Schizosaccharomyces pombe: one gene and its partners. The protein of the gene in region 2 purifies or fractionates together with the protein of the main gene of each other region. This does not show direct contact. Each region holds a gene or a part of one and is shown on either strand. Other genes may lie near its edges. The genes, in order: nog1, cid14, dbp2 and nog2.

Region 1 (5,696 bases), on a different chromosome or scaffold from region 2:
TTATAGATATTTAACAATCTTTTTATACAGTCGTTGGCTATCTAATGATTAGTTTTAAATTTAAATTTAAATGTATCTTCCCATCTTATTATTTGCTAATATACATAATTTTTCTGATGGTCAATCTAAAATATTAAATATACTAATGTGCTTTTTGAAATGCCATGGGAATGTTAAATCTACAATTCGACGTCAATTCCTGCGTTTGAAAAGTTGTATTTCGCCTTTTCAATCCATTTAGTTCGCTCAGATTCTGAAGCTTCCTCCTTGGCAAGTTCAAAACACAACATTCCGGAATACTCATGCAATGCAGGATTCTGATTGTAGGGTGGTAACAGCAAATACTCATCAAGCAACTTCATAGCTTTATTGTATTCTTGGCGCTGAATAAGTAGCATGATATATGCTGGAAAAAAATGTTCTGCCTGTAAATGTTAGTATAGAATTGCGACATATGATTGATTTCAAATAAGAAGGGACAAAAAATTCAATACACGAAAAGATGAAAGTATAGACGTTTTGTACCAGTATACACTTACATTACGATTCGGATAAGAGTTGTTAATGGATGGACGCGCAGGATATCGAGCTATTAGTCGCTCCATATACTCTGATGAAGCTTCTGGATTAACTTTGTTCAAAATTTCAAGTCCAATGTTCCATAATTTGGAAATGTCAACACTCTTAGATCTCAACAGTAATGAAAAAGCCCTAGATGCCCTTGGGTAATCTTTGCGCAATAAGCAAAGGTGCATCAACGAACAAAGTGCATCAATATGTCTTGTTTTATACCTTCTTGATGGTAAAGGAATTGGAGGTATAACAGAAGATTCCGGGTTGGGAGCGACACTTCGCAAAGTTGAACGTTTTTCTTTAACGGTACAAGGAGAGAACATGATTATAACAGAATCAAGCTATAAGTATTACTTATTTAAACAAAGCATAGTTGATCTAACTATAACCTTTTAATCTAGCATTATTTTGCTAATTGCAAGGGTATGGTTTTTGGCATCTTAAAGCAGTTAGCACTTGAGCACGACAGTTGCCTCTCTGTTCAACAACGATCAACCTTAGCTATTGATTAACTTTAGATTTTAATTACTCATTCTTTTTACTTTCATCTATTTACTCAGCATAAAATTTACAGCCAAAAACTACAGGTGTTGTTATGCACGGCTACATAATTAACTGCTTCAATTGTCAACTGAAAGTACATTAAGCAAAAGCTTTGAAATATATTAAATTTCTTTCCTAATGGACAACATCCTCCAACAAAAGTAATTTATGTGAAGAAACAAAAAGGGATGTAGGTAGAAAGTCTTGCAAGTCCACCCATATTATCCAAACCCAAATAACCAACCAAATATTAAAGTTTTATATAAAAAAAGAACCCCAAGTCCAAAACCATTATTCTACCTTCTTTGAGTTTTACCGTTACCACGTTTACCGCTAAGCAAATGTTTAGGCTTGGCAGCAATAACATGTCGATCACTTTCAGAAGCCCTGGCCATGCGGTTACGGTGTATCTGTTTGACACGAGCCAGGCGATCAGCGTAAGATCTGGCACCTTCTGCGTGAACACCAGATTCGCGACGGTTGCTTTGTGAACGTGGGGCAATAGATTTAGAGCGAATTTCTTCACCTTCATTCATTAACAAGTCAACACCTGAACCATCAGCCATTTCGTTTGCTGCTGCAGTACGTGCACGGGAGCGTGCCCGCTCTTCAATAGAATCTGAGGGAAGCCCAGCAGATTGTAAGGAAGATTGTAGTTCGTCTAAAGTACGAATGCCAGCGGTACGGGGAAGTACAGGACGATTTTTAATTTTCTTCTGGCGAGCAGCCAACATAGTCAGCTTGTTTTTCTCACGAATTCTACTTGCTTTTTCAAGAACCTCTTCCTCATCGGCATCCTCAATTTCTTGGTCAGAATCATAATATCCTTCACGCTCAAGACGTTCTTCTTCTTCGTCCAAGGCTAATAACTTCGCTTCAATTTCAGGATCAACGAAATCAGCCACATTCTTACCGTCCAATAATTCAGGCATACGGTCATATTTCCAGCTAGGGTCTTGAAGAATATACTTGTCACGCAATTCAACATTATAGACACCAGCACCTCCGTTTGCAGCTTCAATATCACGAGCAAGTATACGGCGATTTGGATCATTTGCATCATATGCACGGCGAGTTTTAACAGAATCAGGAATGCAAGCTGGTCGTGCAACCTCATCACGAGCAGCAGGCTCAGCAAGATGAATGCGATTAAGAACATTGTTAACCCTTGAGCCCTTAAGTTTTTGTTCGACACGAGCAGCCAAAAGGGCTTCACAAGCGGTAGTACGTACATCCATAACACCGATATCTTGAACACAGCTAGTTTGAACCACCTTAACATTACCGTCGTCAATGATGGTTTGAAGAAGCTCTTGATTTTTTTGATCCAAATCCTCAGGCCTCATGGCGTCAATCTTGTTGAGAACCAAAATAGTAACCTTGTTGGCAAAAAGGGGTTTAATGCTATGATATAATTTAACCTGTGCAGCAACACTGTAACCGCACATTTCCGAGAGATCCATGAAATATAAAACCGCAGATCGAAGATGAGCCATTGCAGTAATAGATTGCATTTCAATGGTGTTCATTTGCTCTAAAGGGTGGTCCAGAATACCAGGAGTATCAATCACTTGCCATCTCAAATATTTATAATCAAAATGACCGACAAATAGAGATTTAGTGGTAAAAGCATAAGGCTGAACATCAACTTGAGCACGAGTAACCTTGTTCATGAATGAGGATTTACCAACGTTGGGATAGCCGCAAACCAATAAGGTTCGTGTATTTGGATCAATTGCTGGCAAACGAGACAAGTGCTGTCTGACTTGCTCAAGAAATTCGAGGGATGACTTTTGCCTTTTAATGATCGTTGCCATGCGTCCCAAAGCGGCACGCTTGAGCTGTTTGCAGCGGTATAAGCTATCACCATACTTGAGCAAACGGATATAATCACGAGCGACATTTTCTACTAAATGTTTGGCTGTCGAGAGCTGTGAAAGAGCGATTTTAAGGTGATCGCGATCGTAAAGAATGTTCAAAAGGTCAGCATGAAAAGGATGAATATCGTTAAGTCTAAGAAATTGTTAGTGAACCATAGATAGTGATATGGAAATAAGGAAAGATTCACGATGCTGCTGAGAATTCCAACACAATTAAACACTTAAAAAATCAATAGGAGTAACACAGTGTTAAGAATACTGTGCACATAAGAATTCACACCAAACACGTTAAAGCATCATTTCTCATTCTTTAACAGTGACTGCAGGCATCCATTTCTTTGGCAAATACTTACTTAGGGAATTCCTGTAAAATCGAATCCAGCTTTTCAGTAATTGTATCTTGAGTAAATTTTACTTTTCGTCCATAAAAACCTCTAATACGAGAGATCTAATATTTTCGTTAGTAGATGATTCGCAAATCTAGAATTCCAATGCAACCACTCTAATACGATAATTGAACTGAAAATGTTTACATACCTTAAACCCTGATCGAATAACGGTAGGTGTTTTTCTTTGAGTCCGAGAAAGGACCACGTCCAAGAACGTGTTCACATCCGGAATTGGAGTAATATTCTGCATCAATGTTAATAAGAATGATACAAACTTTCAATTTTAGAAATTAAAATACCTTGAACACTGCCGTTGCCATGGAGTAGAAAAGTTTGGTAGATGGCAAATGTCAAAGACAATTTTTCACCGTTCACGCAGTAGTTATCCAGCTAGCATTGATAATGGACGAAGGTTCGAATCGTATAGGTAGAACAGTCACCTTCTGTTAACGAATTTTTGTTTGACATTGATAAATCGTATAACGCAAAGAAACGCAATAGAAGGTAAACAAAGCAAGTTTATAGGCAGGCATTATGAATCGAATATCTACGGTTTGTGACAAATTTTATTCAATGTTTTAATCTACATTTCATACTTCAAAAATCCCGTTATTATAATCTTAATTTTCTTTTCAAGAATATTGGGTAGTTTGATCTGGTGTCCGAATGGATGAAAAGTGATAGCAAAATTTCATAAAACAAAATCCAAGAAATCAGTATTTATTAGAATGCTACTTAAACTTTTTTCACTTTCTTAAAATCATGTTGTGAACAAAACGATTTACATTCCTACACTGCAAATACGAAGAATAAAATGCATAGATTGATTTGAACAACAGAATGTTGACTGAAGTAGATGTATGTAGATTAGCAGAACTTATGTTATAGCACTTTCATTTTCTTGATTCTATTAGCTTTAAAGGAAATTTCGAAGATACCCTACTTGTTGATAGGCTCCATGTATTTAATAATTTTGTTCGCATTTTATTTGAAAAAGTTAGCATCTATTTTCTTTGGTTCTAGTATTTAGTTAATGACTTAAAGAATCTTTCTTAGGAGAGCGAAATAGTTCAATTGAACATACTGTATGCCCATCCTTCATATTGATGCCTAAATCAACATATCGTATAGTTACATAAAGCATAATTTATCATTTTTTTAAATTTCCTTTAGACATTACTTTTCACAAATTTGCGACTTTCGCTCTATTTAACAAAAATCCTATCATTTTGACAGTATAATACATCTTGTATTGCAATGCCAGCTTTACTCAACGACAAACTAAACCTTGTAAACGCAGGGTCCCATTCATCCATTTTTGTACCATCATGACATTGGCAGCAGTAGCTCAGCTTAACTCAAGTGGTTCTATTCTAAAAAACTTAGCCATATGTAAAGAATTGATAAGTCAAGCAGCCGCCAAAGGTGCGAAATGCATATTCTTCCCTGAGGCTTCTGACTTTATAGCTCATAATGTACGACACTTTTGCATACTTTACCAACTTTACTAATATCTCTGACATACAGAGTGATGAGGCTATTGAACTTACAAATCATCCTGACTGTAGCAAGTTTATTCGGGACGTTCGAGAGTCAGCTACCAAACATTCAATCTTCGTAAACGTACGTACTAATGTTTAACTACTTTGATAGTAACAAACTTGTCTTTATAGATATGCGTGCACGAACCATCTAAGGTTAAAAACAAGCTACTAAACAGTAGCCTGTTTATCGAGCCTCTTCATGGTGAAATCATTAGCCGTTACAGCAAAGCTCATCTTTTTGATGTTGAAATTAAAAATGGACCAACTTTAAAAGAGTCGAATACTACACTTCGTGGTGAAGCTATTCTCCCACCTTGTAAAACCCCTCTAGGCAAAGTTGGTTCTGCAATTTGTTTTGACATCCGCTTCCCAGAACAAGCTATAAAGCTTAGAAACATGGGTGCTCACATTATCACATACCCTAGTGCTTTTACTGAAAAGACCGGAGCTGCTCATTGGGAAGTGCTGTTGAGAGCTCGCGCTTTGGACTCTCAGTGTTATGTTATAGCTCCTGCGCAAGGTGGAAAGCATAACGAGAAGCGTGCTAGTTATGGTCATTCCATGGTATGTCGTCTTCAAGTTTCACCTGTCTGTTTAAGAATTCTTGCTAATTAAAATTTTTAGATTGTTGACCCTTGGGGTATGTCATTTTGACAATTTTATTAGGTAAAATAACTTGAAATTCTAATGCATCTAGGTACTGTTATTGCTCAATACAGTGATATCTCTTCTCCGAATGGCCTCATTTTTGCTGACCTTGATTTGAA
Region 2 (5,791 bases):
TTTCGTTGCCTTGTTCGCTACGACTTTACTAAAAAGAACAATCGGTCAATTGCAATGGCTCTCACTGAGTTTCGTAGTTTTAGGAGTTGCAATTGTTGGTTATTCTGGATCCTCTTCTTCTATTGGTTCAAATCCCATTTTAGGAATTACTGCAGTTTTAATCGGCCAGTTTTTTTTAGCAACACAATTCACAATTGAAGAATACATACTCTCGTTTATTCAAGTCGACCCTTCAGAATTAGTTGCTTATGAAGGTACTTATGGCGTATTTTTTGTCCTTTTAGGAATGATTATTTCTTACTATTTTATCGGTTCTACTACTGCTGGATACCACGGGTGGTTTGACTATTCACACGTTATATCTCGATTTAATGAAGTCCCTGCACTCTATGTTATTTCTGGAGTTATTTTGGTATCTATTGCGTAAGTTCATGTTAAAAAATTGACCATTCGTATTTACTAACGTTCCAACCTTAGTTTTTTCAACGTTTCCGGCTTAGCCATTACAAAACTTCACTCAGCTACTACCCGATCTCTTTTAGATATTGCTCGAACATTCGGAATTTGGATTATTGCTATGGCAATGGGGATGGAGTCATTCCATTTACTTCAATTCTTGGGATTCGTGCTTCTTATTTATGGCATATTTACTTACCATTCTATCATCAAATTTCCTCTCGCCGAATCGTAATTTCTTAACTAGTTTCATCGTTTATGCAAAATTACTACAGATCCATAGTGAGTTTAAGGTGTTGATTAATTTATTACTGGTATTCGAGTTTACTGGCTAAATCGTAAGTATAATCTATAAAGATAATTTATTAATACAATTATCAAACTATAATCATAATTGATAATAAAACCTTTTATCCCTCTATATAACCTGGTATTTTACATGTAAATTAACTAAAAACGTTTGCGTATTTTTTTCGCTCGAGATTCTTCATCTGAAGCAGTGGTGTCCTCAATAATAGGTACTTCGTCTTCCGAATCGTCACTGCTTATGTTAAATAATTTACTGGGATTAGCTCGAGAATTAGAGGAGGACTGCTCTCCCGTAGATGTCAAAGCTTGCTTCTGAAAATTTTCATGGCCGTTGGTTTCAATTGATTCATTTACTTTAAACAAATCATCCTTTGCAGCATCTGTTTCGTCTGAATCGGATTCATCCTCAACATATTGCAAACCAACGTCTTGCAATGGAAGCTTGTCGACATCAATACTTGCTAAAGCATCCACTTCCACTAAAGGTTCTAAAGGAACTGGATTATTCTTATAACATTTTAACATATGCTCACGATGTTGACGAACCCCTTCATCAACTGATAATATGGTACTTAGGATACTAGGGAAATCTTTGACTCGATTGACACCCTCTCTTTCTATACGAGATGCGAGTGCGTATAATTTACTAGTTAGCAAATCAAAGCCATTTGCAAATGTAGCCTTTACGCGTAATAATCCACGACTAGATTTAGAAACATCATTTTGGAAATCTACCGGATCTTGGATTGAAAGCAAATAAGGCTGGTTTGGCTTCAGCCAACCCATCTTCTTTTTTGAAAAATAAAAACCACCATTGTGAACAGCGATACCGACAGCATCATAATAAAATTGTTTTCCGTACAACTCCAAAAACTCTAGCAGCAAAACACCAAAATTGTCTTCTTCACGCATAGAACCTGTACTAAGTCTAGGGTGTAATTGAAGAAAAGAAACAACCAAACAAACAATCGCATAGCTACTTAATCCGCCCAAGAAGACTTCGTTTAGCGCTCGCATGTTCAAAAAATGTTTAATAATTATTACTAACGGCCTAAGAGCAGGGTATTTTTTCATGAAACCGTTCACTACCAGACATGTCTTCAAACCTCCAGGTTGATTAAAAGATATGTCAACATGAACTTTGGTTAACGGATCAACGAACTTGATGATTGGAACGTTAGCAGTAGTAATGACCTGGACTTCAGAAGCAAGTTTTAGCTTCTTTAGATGATGAGCAAGAACAAACATATCTTTTTTTGTACCCCGATAATGATGCTCAGGTGATATTATTACAAGATCAAGGTCTGAAGTAGGTAAATATAATTTGGTTTCAAAACTTCCAAAAACATAAAGTGATACATCTGGCCATTTTTGCAAGACAGCTTGATTTATACGAGAAACAAGCGTCTTCCGAACCGCATGCTCTTCAGGAGTCGGAGTAATATAGTCAATAAAGTGAAGAATGTCTTGGTGAAAAATTCTAGAGACTTCTCGCTCTACCTTATACTGACGGTGCCAAGGGCATGATTGAGAATCAAGCTCATACGCTTGGCGTTTTCGTTTACGGTTAGAATCCGATTTTTCATTTGCTTCATGAAAAAATCGGCCTCGTTGACGCATAAAGCCAGGGATCTCATTTTTAGAAGACTTTTTTAAGGACTCATTATTCTTGCTTTTATCATTACTAACACTATCCTCGTCTTCATCGCTGTTCCAATCGAACTTGATAAAATCAGAATTATTTTCGACAGCCTTGTCGTGTACAGGGTTAGTTTTTCTACCTTCTCTTTTTGGTATACCTAAAAGAATGGTAGGTTCACCACGTTTTATTGCTTCCTCTGGTAAATCAGGTTTTTCCAGCGGCTCTAATGGATCGGCTTTTCCAAATTGAATATATGGATCGTTTTTGTTTGAAATTTCTACTCCACCTTTATCACGTATTCCTTCTGAATCATTATCATTACGTGATTTTTTACTTCCAATTTCAACCATGGGTTCTTCTTGATCCAGAAGCGTAAAATTGTTATTCAGAAGCATTTCGTCATAAGCGTCTGAATTTTTATCCTTTTCCTTTCTTTTAGATTTAAATTTACTCGGTTTATCGTTTTTAAAAATCCTCCTTGGAAGTGGTTCAGTTCTCTCATTTTTACGCTTTTTATAATTATTGCGGTTAAATGACACGCTTTTTTTACCCATCTCTAAGACATGGATAGAATGGTTTTCTATACCTATCTTGTAGAATTCTTATAAAAATCAATATATGACTAATTGAACCACAATTATTAATCACATAAGATCTTTGAAAATTTGGTGGTGAACAACTTACTAAATGTAGCATACCTAACTATTAACGATTTATTTACGAAAATCGTTGACACTCGGTAATTCAATTTGGGGAACATCTTGTATGGAGAGCGAGATATAGAAGTGCTTGTCGAGTATGAATGGTATAATGTAAATTGTTGCTTAGTTATCATTAAAAAAAAAATTAGTGTAGGTTTTGCTTTGCCAAACCCAATTTTTAGTATGAATCCAGTGAGCTGCGGTGTGAATTTTTTTTTTTTTAAATCTAATTAATGCCAAGTAAATATGTTTTTCAAATAACAAAGAAATGTATTATCGATAGTTTTGAGGATACCCATCTTGTGACTTTGAGGTGAGACCTGGGATAAAAGAGTTTTGAGTTGACGGCTCAGCGTATGAATTGCTCAAAGATGCATGAAGCATACCGGGAATTTGAGGTTGTCCATGTTGATAAGGCGATGGAAAGGAGGGCATAGTCCCTAAACCCGGAAGATTAAGTACTCCAGAAAATTGGGGATTATGGGCATTTGCTAATGTTTCGGTGAGAGGGTTTTCGTCAGGTTCATAATTATCGTCTTCTTCGATCGCTGCTTTTCTCTGACTTAGCATGGCCTCAGACTGTTCTTCACCTAAATGATGGCGATCCATGGTGGATTCCTTGTCATCTGGGCGAGATCTTGACCAAAAACGTGTAGTTTTATCATTTGAACCTGTACATAAAAGATGTCCAAGAGGATGATATTGCATACTCCAAATACCCAAATCATGAGCAAATGGAATTTCAGCAGTAGGGTATAGTAAATAAGAAGACGCGGAAAGAGTAACATTTGGATGCTTTTCATGATACTTTTGCTGAGAAAGTAATGGAGGTTCATCAAGTGAATAATGATTGACACTTCCATCGGAGCCACCAGTAGTAAGCAAATTAGGATAAAGAGGATGCCATGTTACGCAGTTTACGTCCTTTTCATGACCACGTAAAACTCGAACGTCCTTCATGGCACGTAAGTCAAATACTCGACAAGTGCTATCCCTAGAGACTGTAGCCAAATAATTTGATCCAAAATTTTTCTGAAAAGATGCTTGCATTATTGTGTTTTTATGACCATGCAAAGTCGCAATACATGTACCGGTTCTTGGATCCCAAAATTTCACTAAATTGTCTTTAGAACCAGAAGCCAAGAGACCTTTTGAAGGATGCCAATCGACGGTTTTTACATCCCATCCATGACCAGTTAGTTTCAGCTCTTCAGTACTCATATGGAAATTCCATACTTTTAATGAACCATCATCACTCGCTGTGACAAATTTGCTATCATTGGGTGAAAAGGCAACATCTCTAACTTCCATTTCATGAGCTTGAACAATTTTGACATTGTTTAAATTCGGTTCAAAATACTTTACCATGCCTCCTCCATCGCCGGAAATAAGCCAGCGCCCATCTGTACTCCATTCAGCACAACGAACGGCATAATCATGACTCTGATTAATTAACTCAAAATTAAATGTGAGACCATTCCACAGAGTAAATTCACCAGTTGAAGAACCTGTCAACAGTCTTCGACCATCTGGAGTCCAGCGCACAACGTTAATAACATGTCTAGCTTTATTTGCAGACGTATGAATATATTTGGTGCACAAGGAAGATGTGTTATTATACTTGTATTCATAAGGGGGATACAAGTTAATTATTTGATTCGGATTTGGTCTCGGTACATGTATGTGATAGCGATTGCTACGCAAATGTCGATTGACAATATACTTTGATAGCCCTGATCCATAGTCCACAGTCCTACGAGTCATAGGCTTTTGAATAATTCTAGCATTTTCAGCTCTTTCCATGATGAATTAACCAATTCCCCAAAGATGTGAAATTCCTTATTTAGCAGCAATAAAATCAATCTTTAATTTAAATAAAACCAACTTAAAGTTCCTTCTAATGTAGTATAAACTTTACCGTTTTTCGTATGGTATTCTAATATATAGATATTTGGCGCGTTTTACGTGCTGGGAAAATGAGCTAGTATGACTTTGGCCAAAGGTATGGATACGCAATCGTATCTTTTGACATGATATTTGGAACGATTGTGCTTGTAAAATACATTGAAAAAAATTTTATTAATTTAGTTCAAAGACTTCTTTTATTTAGTATAAGTAAATCGGTGGGATGTTGAAGATGATATTAATTTCGTTCCAAATTAGGCACGCCAAATAAATTAATCCACCTAGATCAAGTGTTCATAGTAAACATACAGTAATGATATCTTTGATCATCTATCCATGCTTGATTAGACAGTTAAAGAATAGTACGTTTAATTTATACAATGTAATAACATTAAATGAAACTAATGTCTAAATAATATCCATTTGTTGTTTTTAGATGAATTTTGCTTATTTAACATTTGATTAACGTTCCACATAAGGTTTCTCAAATTGCTTAATATTTTATTTGTAGTCGTACTTTAATGGCAGTATCCAACCTACATGTGCTCGTTTTATTCATTTGAAATTTATTTTTTAACAAAAACTGAGTAAAAATTCAGGAAATTGAACTGCTTAGTCGTATTATTGACACTGCATATTTTACATAGAAATCTTTATTGTCTAAAGACACCAATTTGTGTCTCTCTTTTAATATTGGTTAGTAATTAATACCCTACTTTATTCACTTGCTCTCTGATAATTTGAAATAAGCTCCATAGTTAATCAAGTTTACTTTCCT
Region 3 (5,934 bases), on a different chromosome or scaffold from region 2:
GGTGCCTTTTTCTGAAGCATTGGGACAGGTCGTTTGACAGAATCAGATCGAGCACCGGTTGTCTTAGGAGCGCCACTGACATAGCGAGCAGCAGTTCCTTTTCCGGATTTTTGTGCAGGTACTCGACGGACAATGACAGAAGTAGAACGAGGAATTATAAAAGTGTCATCATCATACTCTTCATTAGAATTAGCATTATAAAGCAACAAATCAAAATCTAATCCATTTCCTAGCTTTTTCTGCATAATGATTTCTCTTTTAACGTCAAAAACAGACATTCCAATGGTTCCATCGAAAGTAATCCTTGACGGATCCTTTTGAGACTTGAACTTGTAATAAATTACACCAGACATCGAAAAAATAGTAATTGACTATCAGAAATGACTTAATTTCACTTTTTAAGAAACACGAACAGGTTTTTTGAATAGAACGAACGTCTAAAGAGTCCAACAAAAAAAAAGAAATAAAAGAGTCGTTAGTTGTAAAACTATGAGATAAATGTTTTAAAAAAAAAAAAAAAAAACTAAAATTATTTGGTTAACAGAGGTTTCAAAAATTCAAAGGAAGCTATTCTTGCTTACTCGTCCAGATACTTACTTCAACGGAACGGCAAATAGGTAATTTTGAATGGATATTTATAATTAGAGGAGTGCTTTGTCGTCAACGTACTCAAAGAGAGGAATCGAAATCACCAAGGTGTTCTACTCGGGAACAAACTACAAAAGCCAACCACCTCTGCAAAGCTCGCGGATCTTTCGGTAATAAGGGAAAGACAGGGAATGCAATTAGCACTTGCAAATATAGAAAGGTTCCTACCCTGAAGTACGAACGTTGGCTGCTAAACTTTTTATTATAAAAATTGCTTATTAATTAGAACGAGAATATTCAACAAAAACCTTTCTAATCAAAAGCTGTTATTTAGTAGGGCTATTTTTTTCAGCTTATTCTTTTATTAGAGTTTTGAATTTAAACAACTCAATGTACAGGACTTTCAAGCCTCTTCGCTCTTAATTCTTATGATAATGAAAAAAAAAACTTTTTTATTTCTTTTAAGTCACCCAATATAAATAAATCTTGTATTAAAACTTAGTCGGAAAGACTGAATACTCAAATGCTTTAGCTATTTATGTCTTTGGTCAAACAAATCGATCAGTCGTTAGATCAAATTCCGATTAGATGGTTGGTAGAAGAAGAGAATTTGCTCACACATCAAACATATATGTCATGCTAATGCACTTCAACATAATGCAATATGCTTCTTTAAAATGCGTTATCCAAAGTTGTCAAGCGCCACACAATTAATAAAGCCATCGTAAATGTCAGCTTAGCCAATATACACACTCAAAACACCTGTTTAATTTTCAGTACTTTTTTAATATAATTGATTGCTACCGTTATAACTACGTTAGATTTCACAAATCTACGAAAGCGGTTACTGAACAGAAAAAACTACTTCAAAATTTAACTAAGCCGGTAAATTAAATAAAATCATATTTTTATTAACCCTTGTAAACCTCAAAATTACCTTATATATCCAACCGATTAATCTAATTTTACTTATATTTCAAAATACGCGGATTGTTGATCACCAACGTGAACGCGCAAGGGGGGCAGAATTACTTCCGGTAAAACCCCTATTACGGTTTCCATAACCTCCTCCACGACGGAAACCACCACGACCATAGCCGCCACGGCGGTAGTTACCACCACGACCACCGCTTGAATAGCGGGCCATTTCCTCAAGCTTAGGATCAATGTCCTGCTTGGCTTCAGAGAGAATGGAAACAAGTTCACGAGCTTGCTTAGCATTATCCGAAGTGAAATAGGTATATGCGGTACCTTTAGCTCCAGCACGACCAGTACGTCCAATTCTATGAACGTAGTCTTCCGTATTTCCAGGGAAATCATAGTTAAAGACATGTGTAATACCCTTAACATCTATAAAAAGTTAGTAATGCCCAAGAGGGTTTTGACTTTAAGCTTCGAGATATATGTTTCATGGATTTATCCAATATATCAACAACTTTAAGCTTCTTTAAATTTGACAAGTTAGGTCAACAACACTGCATAAACATTTTAGCAATGGTACCGAACAGCAATAAGTTCACAATGAAAGAAAGACAAAAGACAAAAGAAAGTAAAGAAAAGGAGGAAACAGTACAGAAAAACTATGTTTTAAATCATTTAATGTGGTCTAAAAGTAAACAATGAGTCAAGTTGGTTTGAAGGCTGAATAGAATAAGCGTTTAAAAACCTTTTAAATTGACCGCAAATCAAATGGTTACATAGATCGCGGAAACGTTGACAACAAATTTAACAGGTAGCAGACCACACGTATCTCGACTACTATTGAAAAGGCCAAGATCATGAAATAGAAATCATCAGTTTCTCTTTGTAACACCATTCGTGCCTGTAAGAAACAGGCTAAACAATCATCCGAATTTTCTACTTTCCTTAAGACTGGGCGTAAACAAAAATATTCATCAAAGCAACACAAACTTGCAAAATTCAAGCTAAAATGGTGTTGATCGCCAGTCCATCTTTTATTATCAAAAGAGACATTGAGAACGCCGGTGAAAGTATAACGTCAAATAAAAAAGCCTGCGAAAAGGAAAAAACTGTTAAATAAAAACTTACCTATTCCTCTAGAAGCAACATCAGTAGCAACCATAATCGGAGACTTGCCAGTACGGAACTCATTGAGTACCCAGTCACGCTCGTCTTGAGCTTTATCACCATGAATGGCAAGGGCAGGCCAACCATCTTGCCTAAGGAAGCGAGTAATGTCATCAGCAACACGTTTTGTGCCTGTAAAAATAAGAACTTTGTTATCCCTATCCTTCAAAACCTCTTCGATATCCTTTCCAAGACGAGCTCTTTTATCAGCATTGTCAACAACTTCTACGATTTGCTTAATGTTATGAGAAGCTGCCAAATCCAAAGAGCCGACAGTTACTTGAATGTAGTCATTCAAATAGTCACGAGCAAGACGTTGAACTTCTTTTGGCCATGTTGCAGAAAACATGACAGTTTGACGGTCTGGTCGAATTTGATCAACAATCTTTCTAATTTGAGGTTCAAAACCCATATCAAGCATTCGGTCGGCTTCATCCAGCACTAAATAGGTCACACGACGTAAGTTGGTTTTGTTAGAGTCTAACATATCCAATAAACGACCAGGTGTTGCAATGCAAATTTCGACACCGCGAATTAGGTCACGAATTTGTGGACCACGAGGGACACCACCATACACACATGTGTTGCGAATTCGGGATGATTTGCCAAATTTAGTACATTCTTGCTGAATTTGGACAGCTAATTCACGCGTTGGAGCAAGAACGAGTACAATTGGACCATCGCCTGGAGAAAGTAGTGGTTGGGCATTAATATGTACGATAGCAGGAAGACAATAAGAAAGTGTCTTACCAGAACCCGTAGCTGAAATGCCTACCATATCTCTACCAGACATAGCCATCGGCCATGCTTGTTGTTGGATAGGAGTAGGAGCTTCGAACCCCAATTGTTTGACTTCCTTTAGTACATAGTTAGGAAAACCAGCCTCTTCAAATGTCGTAACAGGTTTAGGAACATTTAATCCATGCACGACAATTTCTTTTTCTTTACGGTATTCGGTGACTTCAGCGTCTGAACGATTGCGAACATTTTCATGTTCTTTATAAAAATCTTTTTGAAACGGAATCAAAGTTTCATTTTTCCAATCCTTCTTTACCAAATTAGCACCGGGACCATCTGACTCGTAAAAATTTCTTCCTTGTCCTCGTTGATCGTAGCCATAAGAAGCGCCATCATTGAAACCTCCACGACCGCCGCCACGACTATAGTTATTGCGGTATCCGCCACCATAACGACTGTAAAATGTTAATATTAATTATTTTAAAAAAAAAGGTAAATCAGTATCAATAATTTTGTACTGAACAGGGGCACGCCCAATTGTGAATTCTTACCCTCTGCTGTTATAGCCATCCTCTTTTCCATTGTAATTTCCACTATATTCGTTATCTCTGTAAGACATTATGATTTCTTTTTACTATAAAACTGAAGAGATGTGGTGGTTTATGGTAAACGGTTTGCTTAATTAACAGGCGGTAAGGCGCCTTATATAGTAGATTGCAAAATAAAAATTTTCAGTCAGATAATAGTAGCAATTAACTTCAAGAAAATATACTCCGAATAATTTAAAAAAATGTAAAATATTATTTTATGTTTTTGAAATGAGATTTTTGGATATTTTATAATATTACTATCTCAAGAGTAAGAAGTGCTGCCCGGCTAACTGTTAAGGTAATCCAACACTATTTTCATAAGCTTCAATAACAATCGTTGTTTGATAGTTGATACTGTCGCATTAAATAAAACAAATTTAAAAAAAAAAAAGGAAATAAATAAATGAAAATTAACACGAAGTTATTTATTTACTTATATAATCTATATACAAACATATATTACAAAGGCTAATAAAAATGTTCAAACTTTATTCTAAAGAGCTAAAAACAATCAATTCTATGGATAGAAAAAAAACCAAAAGTCCTAAATATTGATTTTCAATTATTTTTTTTTTGCAAGGTAGAACGGCGTCAATTAAAACACAGATGATTCGTTACTCGAAGATGTGTCCAAGACTAGCCGCTCAAAATCCAAACTTTTTTCCAAAATGCCAAGTAAATGCTGTACTTTGGAAAGAGATATAATTTGAGAATTAGTCTCTAAACTTTCCAAAAGAGTCTCAATATGAGAAGTAGCTGATTTGTCTTTGCAGTGTTCAACCCAAGCAACATAAGGATAACCATCTGAAGCGGAGATTTGAGAAACAACTTCTTGAATCATAAATACAAAAGGAAGCATAGCAATTTGGATTCCTCGCAGCCCATCCTGTTGAGCAGTATCGTGTATGAACAAAGAATGAGACTTAACAATTTCTGGTTTGCTCTTTGTTATTTGACTTGCAGATAAACCGTATTGCTCGCAAATTCTAAGATGAGTCACATTTTCTTCCTTAATAGCCTGAATAATTTTAGCACTGTGTTCGATAGCAGAAATACTAGATGACGAAAAAGCCATCATTCCTGCTGCTTGAGCATTATTAATTAACATATGATATTTTAGAACCAAATACTTTTGGAAAGGCAAACGAGAAAGTGTACCAGCTTTTAACTGCTCAACGAATGGATGGTTAACAATGCTTAGCCATTTAGGGGTTATAGAAGGATGATAGCGAACAAAGTTGATGAATTCTCCCTTTTCATAAGGAAGTCGCGTCAAGGCAGAAGCATAATCCAAGGAATTGGCACCACGACCCAGATGAAAGCTCATTTCTAATGCTCGCTGAGTGTAGGATACTGCGTTCTGTGTTGCAGTTACAAGGTCTAACCCAATTGCAAGATTGGAAGCTACTGCTGAAGATAATGCACAGCTGGTGCCACGAGCCGTTTTGGAGGCAAGCCATTTTTGAGGAAGCAACACTTCACCCTCACTAGTACAAAGGACATATAAATACCAAGTAGGAGGCATATTTGTTTCGCGTGAGCAAAAAAAATCAGATGCGAACGGTATATCGTCGCAACGTATAACCACATTTTTACAACCTGCCTTTATTAACTTTTTACCCACGGCTTTAACGTCCTCTAAATGATGAATTTCAACGAATTCGTTAGTCATATGCTTCAGTATTATTAAGGCTTCTGCTATGTTTGGAATAAGCACTTCTGCTCGCGGAATAAGCTCTTTAACAAATAGTTCTAAGTAGTCGGGCATGACTAGTAAAGCACCCTTCCGGGTCGCAATAAGGGGATCAACAACGACTTTTTTGATTTTAAACCTATCTATTGATTCAACAATAACTTTTAAAATTTGCTGATTGAACAGCATTCCAGTCTTCATGACTTCACAGTGAACATCTAACAGGCAAGCACTTAT
Region 4 (5,294 bases), 2.4 Mb from region 2:
CGCACCTTCTCAATAGACGGGATGTTATAGAAGCTTTTGATGCATATGAAACATTGTTTAAACTAATGTGATGCACTAATTTTCTTGTAGGTTTACGGCTAATCGTGTCAACAAACTTATGATAATTACGGGGATTAAGCTTTGGAAAATAATAAATAGCATGTAGGCCTCCAACATATGATGAACGACAAATCCTTAGCAAGCCCCCAAAATTTTTTGCTTCAAACTTGTCAAAACTTATTAAATGATCGAATATGTGATGCCATATTTCAGGAGGAAACGACTGCATCTTTCGGTAAGGCCAAACTAGATATCATTACTCCCAAAAGTTAATTTAAGTGTATAAGCTTTCGATTAAAATTTTGGCAATAACCTTGTCCTAATGTACTGACAATGGTGTTAGGCAGTAGCAAAACCTCAGTCTTCGACGCCAAATAATTGAGTGATAACTTGGTATCTTCAAACAATTTTTTTTTTTTTAAATATCTAAACTTACAAATAATTTAAACGGTAACTGCCAAATAACCTTATATGACTAGTAATTTGCATTGCTCGATACATAAAATGGTGGTAAATGGTAACACTTCATGTGAGAAGAACAAGCAGAATCAGTACCACGCTTAAATTAAAAAAAAAGATTTGACGCAAGATATTGATGAACAATTTGCAAAAGTATTGTATCTAACAAACCGTTTACAATACATCAGGTAGAATTCTATAGAACAATAGCAACTCTTATACATATCACATTATATTTAGTAAACCAATATTATTATTAATATACAAAGACCAACCATAAAAATGATAAATTAAACCAAACCCCCCAATTAACTCCTATTCTTATTATCATCAACAGCACTTTCATCTGTAGACTCAGAAGCACTTCCCTCGGCTACTGGTTTAGTACTTTCAGACTCATCAGCTTTACCATCATCAGAAATTCCATGCCATTCTTCTTCTGCTTCTTCTCCATCCTGATCAGAACCTTCAGTTTGCTGAGTAGCGACTTTTTGCGAAGAATTGATTTCATCGTTTGATGAGGAAAGGCCTTTAGGTCCAATAAACCAAGGGATTTTACCGCGCATAAAATCATTCAATACCATTTTAGCAACCGAAGCTTCATCAGGTTCACCTCCTTTGAGCAAACGGCCTCCCTTCTTCGCAAGTTTAGCAAGAAATTCAGTCGAATCATTCCAACCAGATATTTCATATGTTCTCTCAAGATGCTTCACTTTACAACGACTGAGTACAGTAGGAATATATGCTTCTGGATTACTCACGTTTTCAACTCGGACTACACCTTTCAATAAAAGCTCTGCATCAGAGTCGTTGGAACTGGGTGGGACTATACCAGGACAGTCGATTAAAAAAATTCGTTTCATGAGTGCAACATATTGCCAAACTTTCGTTTCTCCAGGAATGGGAGCAACATTACAAACTTTTTTCTTCCTTAAAGTATTGATGATGCTTGATTTTCCGGCATTCGGAAAACCAATTAACCCAACAGAAATTTGTTTTTTGTCAGAATGTAAAGACGCAAATTGACGAAGAATCTGAATAAGGGACCCTTTACCAAAGGAATTATTTATAGATGCATGGAAAGCAATGGTTGGGTACTCTTTAGCCAATATTTTAACCCAGGCGGCCTAAAAAAGTTAGAAAAAAGAACATTGGTTAATAAAGATATATCTGGTTGTTCGTTGATACATGAAAACAATGTAAGTCTTTACATTTGTAAGTGTGACAACTATATGCAGCGATATACTGCTTGAAACACCGAAATTAAAGCAAAGACAATACAACTATCTCTGATATAGCCAGAACGGCTATATAATTTAGAGACAGTTTGTATACTCTCCCAGAGTTGTAACAGACTTCAATTGACGGGAAATATGCTGAAAAGCATACAAAAGAGTCTTGACTTAACAATGGGCATACTGAATACTATTCCAGCAATTAAATAGAACTAATGCATAACAGATGCATATAGCTTGATCTTTCCATGTATCAAAAACAATGCAAATAGATTTTAAAAACAAAAATGACTTACAGCAACAGAGGTAGGAACAAGATCAACTTTGTTCAAAACCAAAATCATATGCTTATGAGAAGCTTCGTTCCTTAAATAGCGCTCTACGGTTCCACAACGAGTACCTACAGGATCACGCGCATCAAGCACTTGGATTAAAACATCGCTAGAATCAATAACTTTGTAAAGCTCATTCCAAATACGTTTAGATTGTCCTTTGCTAAAAATCGCATCACGAGCAGCAAGCATAACATCATCAGACTCATCGGGATTAGCCAATATACGCTCTTCAATTTTCTCTTCGTAAGCGTTCTGTTTTTCGTCAGACTCTTTAGCCAATTCAGCCACAGAATCGAATGAGATCTTGGGGCGTTTTCTTTGAGATTTAGGGCCAAAAGTGTTTTCAAAAGGCTCTGACTCTAAAACACGAACTTTTGGAATTTCAGTGTTCTCTTGTAGGAGAGACATAGGAAGTTTGTTCCTTCGTAATAAAACTTGATAAGGATCGTTTAACTTTTGACCCATAGCCTCTCGAAATTGGGTGAGAGTTGGTTGAGCAATAACTCTGGTATTGTTGAACCATCGTCGATCAGGCTGAATTCGAGCTTTAGGAACCTCGCTAGACTGAAATTCAGCAGCACGGACTAATTCACCAGCAGCGTTATATTTCGCCTTGCCTCCTCGATACATGTTAACTCGAGCAACATCCTTGGCATTTCGGTAAAAATTTTCACCTTTGACACGAAGGTTGCCAGGCTTCTTCTCATTAGCACCTTCACGTCCGATTCTGCTTTTCTCTTTCTTATAGGTGCCCATTTTTTTTGATTACTCCAAAAAAGAAAAAGAACAAAAACAAGGCCCTAACAACCACGCCAAATTGATGCGGTTGGTGATAGGTAGAGTGTAAGTAAGAAAGCGAAATTTTCAAGTCATAAGCACAGGTAACATATGCTGGGTAACATTTGTTTACTATTCACATTTGTTAGTAAAATGTAGCTAAATTCCTAAGTTAATAAAGGAAAACTTTGGATATTGTTTCTTTAATCTCAAAGAAAAATCCTATATGGTTTTTCACTTGGAATGGAAAATGTACTATAACTTTAGTCTAAAAACGCCAAAACAAATGTCTTACAGATGGTGAAATGTATGTATTATTGACATTTTGATCAATAAAACTTAAAGAAAGCAATGAAAAAAGTATGTTCTCAAATAACCAAAATTAAAAACTTTTAAGTCACAGAATTCATTGAATATACCATACTTCTAAATTAAGAGGATTTGAACACAATATGATAAGCATCAAGATATCAGTGAAATTTTATGAAAAGGATAAAATGATTTAATAATTCTTAAAAAATAAAATCTTTAAACGTAGACCTGGTCGCTTGGCAGCGACTTCTTGTCCAGCTCATCGGAAGTTTTCTCATTCATGTACGTATCAGTTGAAGGCATGACTCCATCGATGTATGATTTATCATCAGTGAAGTGTTCTTTCGTTGATAATCTATCGGTTTCCTTACCGAATATCGAAGTCATTATGAGTTGAGATGCACACATCACGAATAAAAAAATAAAATATATAATTCCTTGTCCAAGAAATGAGACTCCAGCTGCGTCTATACCAAAAGAAACACACATTCCGGCTGCTTGGGTTCCTTTGTACAGTCCAGCGTAACGTGCATACTTGTCGGGATCACTAGAGAGAAGTGAGATACACCACTGTACAGAGACAATGGAAGAACCATATTGAATACCCATTAGTAAATATAGAACCAGAGCACCTCCGTAACCTCGTTGAGTCCAGTCAAGATCAGGGGATGTATCGTGTAAATCAATGTGCTTAGAAACAATCCAACCCAATTCACCAGAAAGAGTAGCCATGATTACCACAGCTTGAATAGTTAATCCAATAATACCACGTGTCCTTCTTTTTAATGCTTTTGCATCTAAAATTAAAGTGAACAAGTAAGGGACGAAAAATTGAATCACCCAAAATAACACATTGTTTAGAGACCGAGTACGAAGGGAGAAATAGTAGGAGTTTAAGTGCGACTGCCATGCAATTGTACTTTGTGAAGCAAAGGATGCAGGAAGCAGACAAAGTAGTCTCCAATCCTTTGCTGCTTCAAACAATCCCCAAAGTTCTTGACCGAACGTCTTATTACTGGGAGAAAGTGCAGACGTCCCATCTGATTTTCGTACATCAGATGGGCTTTTTATAAAGAGAATGGCTAATAAAACGGCACAAGCCATAATGATTATGAAGATGATGTAGACTGCCATAGGTACGCCAGTGCTCGTTGAGTGATAATTAATACCAAAAGCTATAAACGAGCCCACTGTACTACCAAAAGCCAAGATCGTCCATTGAGTAGCAATGAATTGGGATTTTTGATTTGCACAAGAGTAAGATAAGCTAATGTATGCTGTTGATGCCCATAATAATCCAGCAGCAATGCCTTCATAGGCACCAGTAAAAATGGTGAATCCTTGCTTTCCAGTGTTATCAAAATACCATAGTCCGCCAATGTATATAGGATAACCTGTAGCGCCCAAGGCAAGTGCCCAGCGAGGACCCAGGTACTTAAGAATCGGTCCTCCCGCCCAACCGCAAACGGTAAACAAAGCATACAAGAGTGAGTTCGTAACATCAGCCATATGATATGCATCAGGATGGCCACCACCTGCACCTAACCCAGTTACTGCTAAATAGATACCAGGGCAGCAAAACAAGATGCAAGAAGCAATGAAATTTTGAAATTGGCCTGAAGAGACAAGCTTCCCTCCCACTGAAGGTATTGTAATTTTCCGCATATTATTGACTAGAGCAACCATTTTTTAGTAAAGCGAGGGACAAGCACACACGGTTAAAGCAACGTTGGACTAAAATCACGCTTTAACCCTGCAACTTCGCCGAGTTAAATAGCTAAAAAGTATCTCGTCTATCATATTTATTGCCAAGGAAATCGGCTATCTAATAACTCTTAGAAATGATGGTACCTTGAATTTGTTGACAAGTTCATTTGGACTTCTCACCCCTTAACTATTCTGTATCAGTGACGACCCCTGCCGACAGTCTTTCACTTGCTATTTCAGTGGCTATCCCTGCCTCATACACAGGTGATTGCTTCTTTTCACTTCTTTTGCTTAAGTCTCGCAAGCAAAAATTTCACGTTCCAACGTAAACTTGACCCATAACTGTGATAAGTTTTTGTCTCCCTATTTTTTGTATTTCGCGTATACTTATCTTTCAATGGTACAGGTT

Evidence for each region.
Region 1: the proteins of cid14 (region 2) and nog1 purify together in Schizosaccharomyces pombe (affinity purification with western blotting; 2 studies listed by BioGRID, with this or other methods). This does not show direct contact.
Region 3: the proteins of cid14 (region 2) and dbp2 purify together in Schizosaccharomyces pombe (affinity purification with western blotting; 2 studies listed by BioGRID, with this or other methods). This does not show direct contact.
Region 4: the proteins of cid14 (region 2) and nog2 purify together in Schizosaccharomyces pombe (affinity purification with western blotting; 2 studies listed by BioGRID, with this or other methods). This does not show direct contact.

What each region holds. Positions count from the first base shown.
Region 1 is NC_003423.3:1,235,472-1,241,167, forward strand, and holds nog1 (GTP-binding protein Nog1), read right to left. Parts: upstream 3,738-5,696; 5' UTR 3,706-3,737; coding exon 3,685-3,705; intron 3,630-3,684; coding exon 3,534-3,629; intron 3,445-3,533; coding exon 3,350-3,444; exon of another isoform or gene 3,130-3,349; coding exon 1,413-3,129; 3' UTR 1,200-1,412; downstream 1-1,199. Other genes in the region: RNA polymerase I transcription factor subunit Rrn11, read right to left, coding at 180-425, 540-896; nit1 (nitrilase superfamily protein), read left to right, coding at 4,714-4,860, 4,913-5,008, 5,059-5,493, 5,554-5,569, 5,627-5,696.
Region 2 is NC_003424.3:319,094-324,884, reverse strand, and holds cid14 (TRAMP complex poly(A) polymerase subunit Cid14), read right to left. Parts: upstream 3,081-5,791; 5' UTR 2,962-3,080; coding exon 907-2,961; 3' UTR 756-906; downstream 1-755. Other genes in the region: gms2 (NST UDP-galactose transporter), read left to right, coding at 1-423, 478-691; mRNA cleavage and polyadenylation specificity factor complex, WD repeat protein Pfs2, read right to left, coding at 3,382-4,911. UniProt on the Schizosaccharomyces pombe protein: Required for 3' polyadenylation of the 5.8S and 25S rRNAs as a prelude to their degradation in the exosome. Involved in the nucleolar organization to ensure faithful chromosome segregation during mitosis.
Region 3 is NC_003423.3:3,661,269-3,667,202, forward strand, and holds dbp2 (ATP-dependent RNA helicase Dbp2), read right to left. Parts: upstream 4,091-5,934; 5' UTR 4,034-4,090; coding exon 3,966-4,033; exon of another isoform or gene 3,870-3,965; coding exon 2,638-3,869; exon of another isoform or gene 1,939-2,637; coding exon 1,586-1,938; 3' UTR 1,467-1,585; downstream 1-1,466. Other genes in the region: mpe1 (RBBP6 family ubiquitin-protein ligase E3), read right to left, coding at 1-353; phosphomethylpyrimidine kinase Thi20, read right to left, coding at 4,600-5,934. UniProt on the Schizosaccharomyces pombe protein: ATP-dependent RNA helicase involved nonsense-mediated mRNA decay and ribosome biogenesis through rRNA processing.
Region 4 is NC_003424.3:2,733,282-2,738,575, forward strand, and holds nog2 (ribosome export GTPase), read right to left. Parts: upstream 2,928-5,294; 5' UTR 2,846-2,927; coding exon 2,051-2,845; exon of another isoform or gene 1,647-2,050; coding exon 828-1,646; 3' UTR 750-827; downstream 1-749. Other genes in the region: F-box protein Pof5, read right to left, coding at 1-289; SPOM_SPAC6F6.04C (transporter), read right to left, coding at 3,395-4,864. UniProt on the Schizosaccharomyces pombe protein: GTPase that associates with pre-60S ribosomal subunits in the nucleolus and is required for their nuclear export and maturation.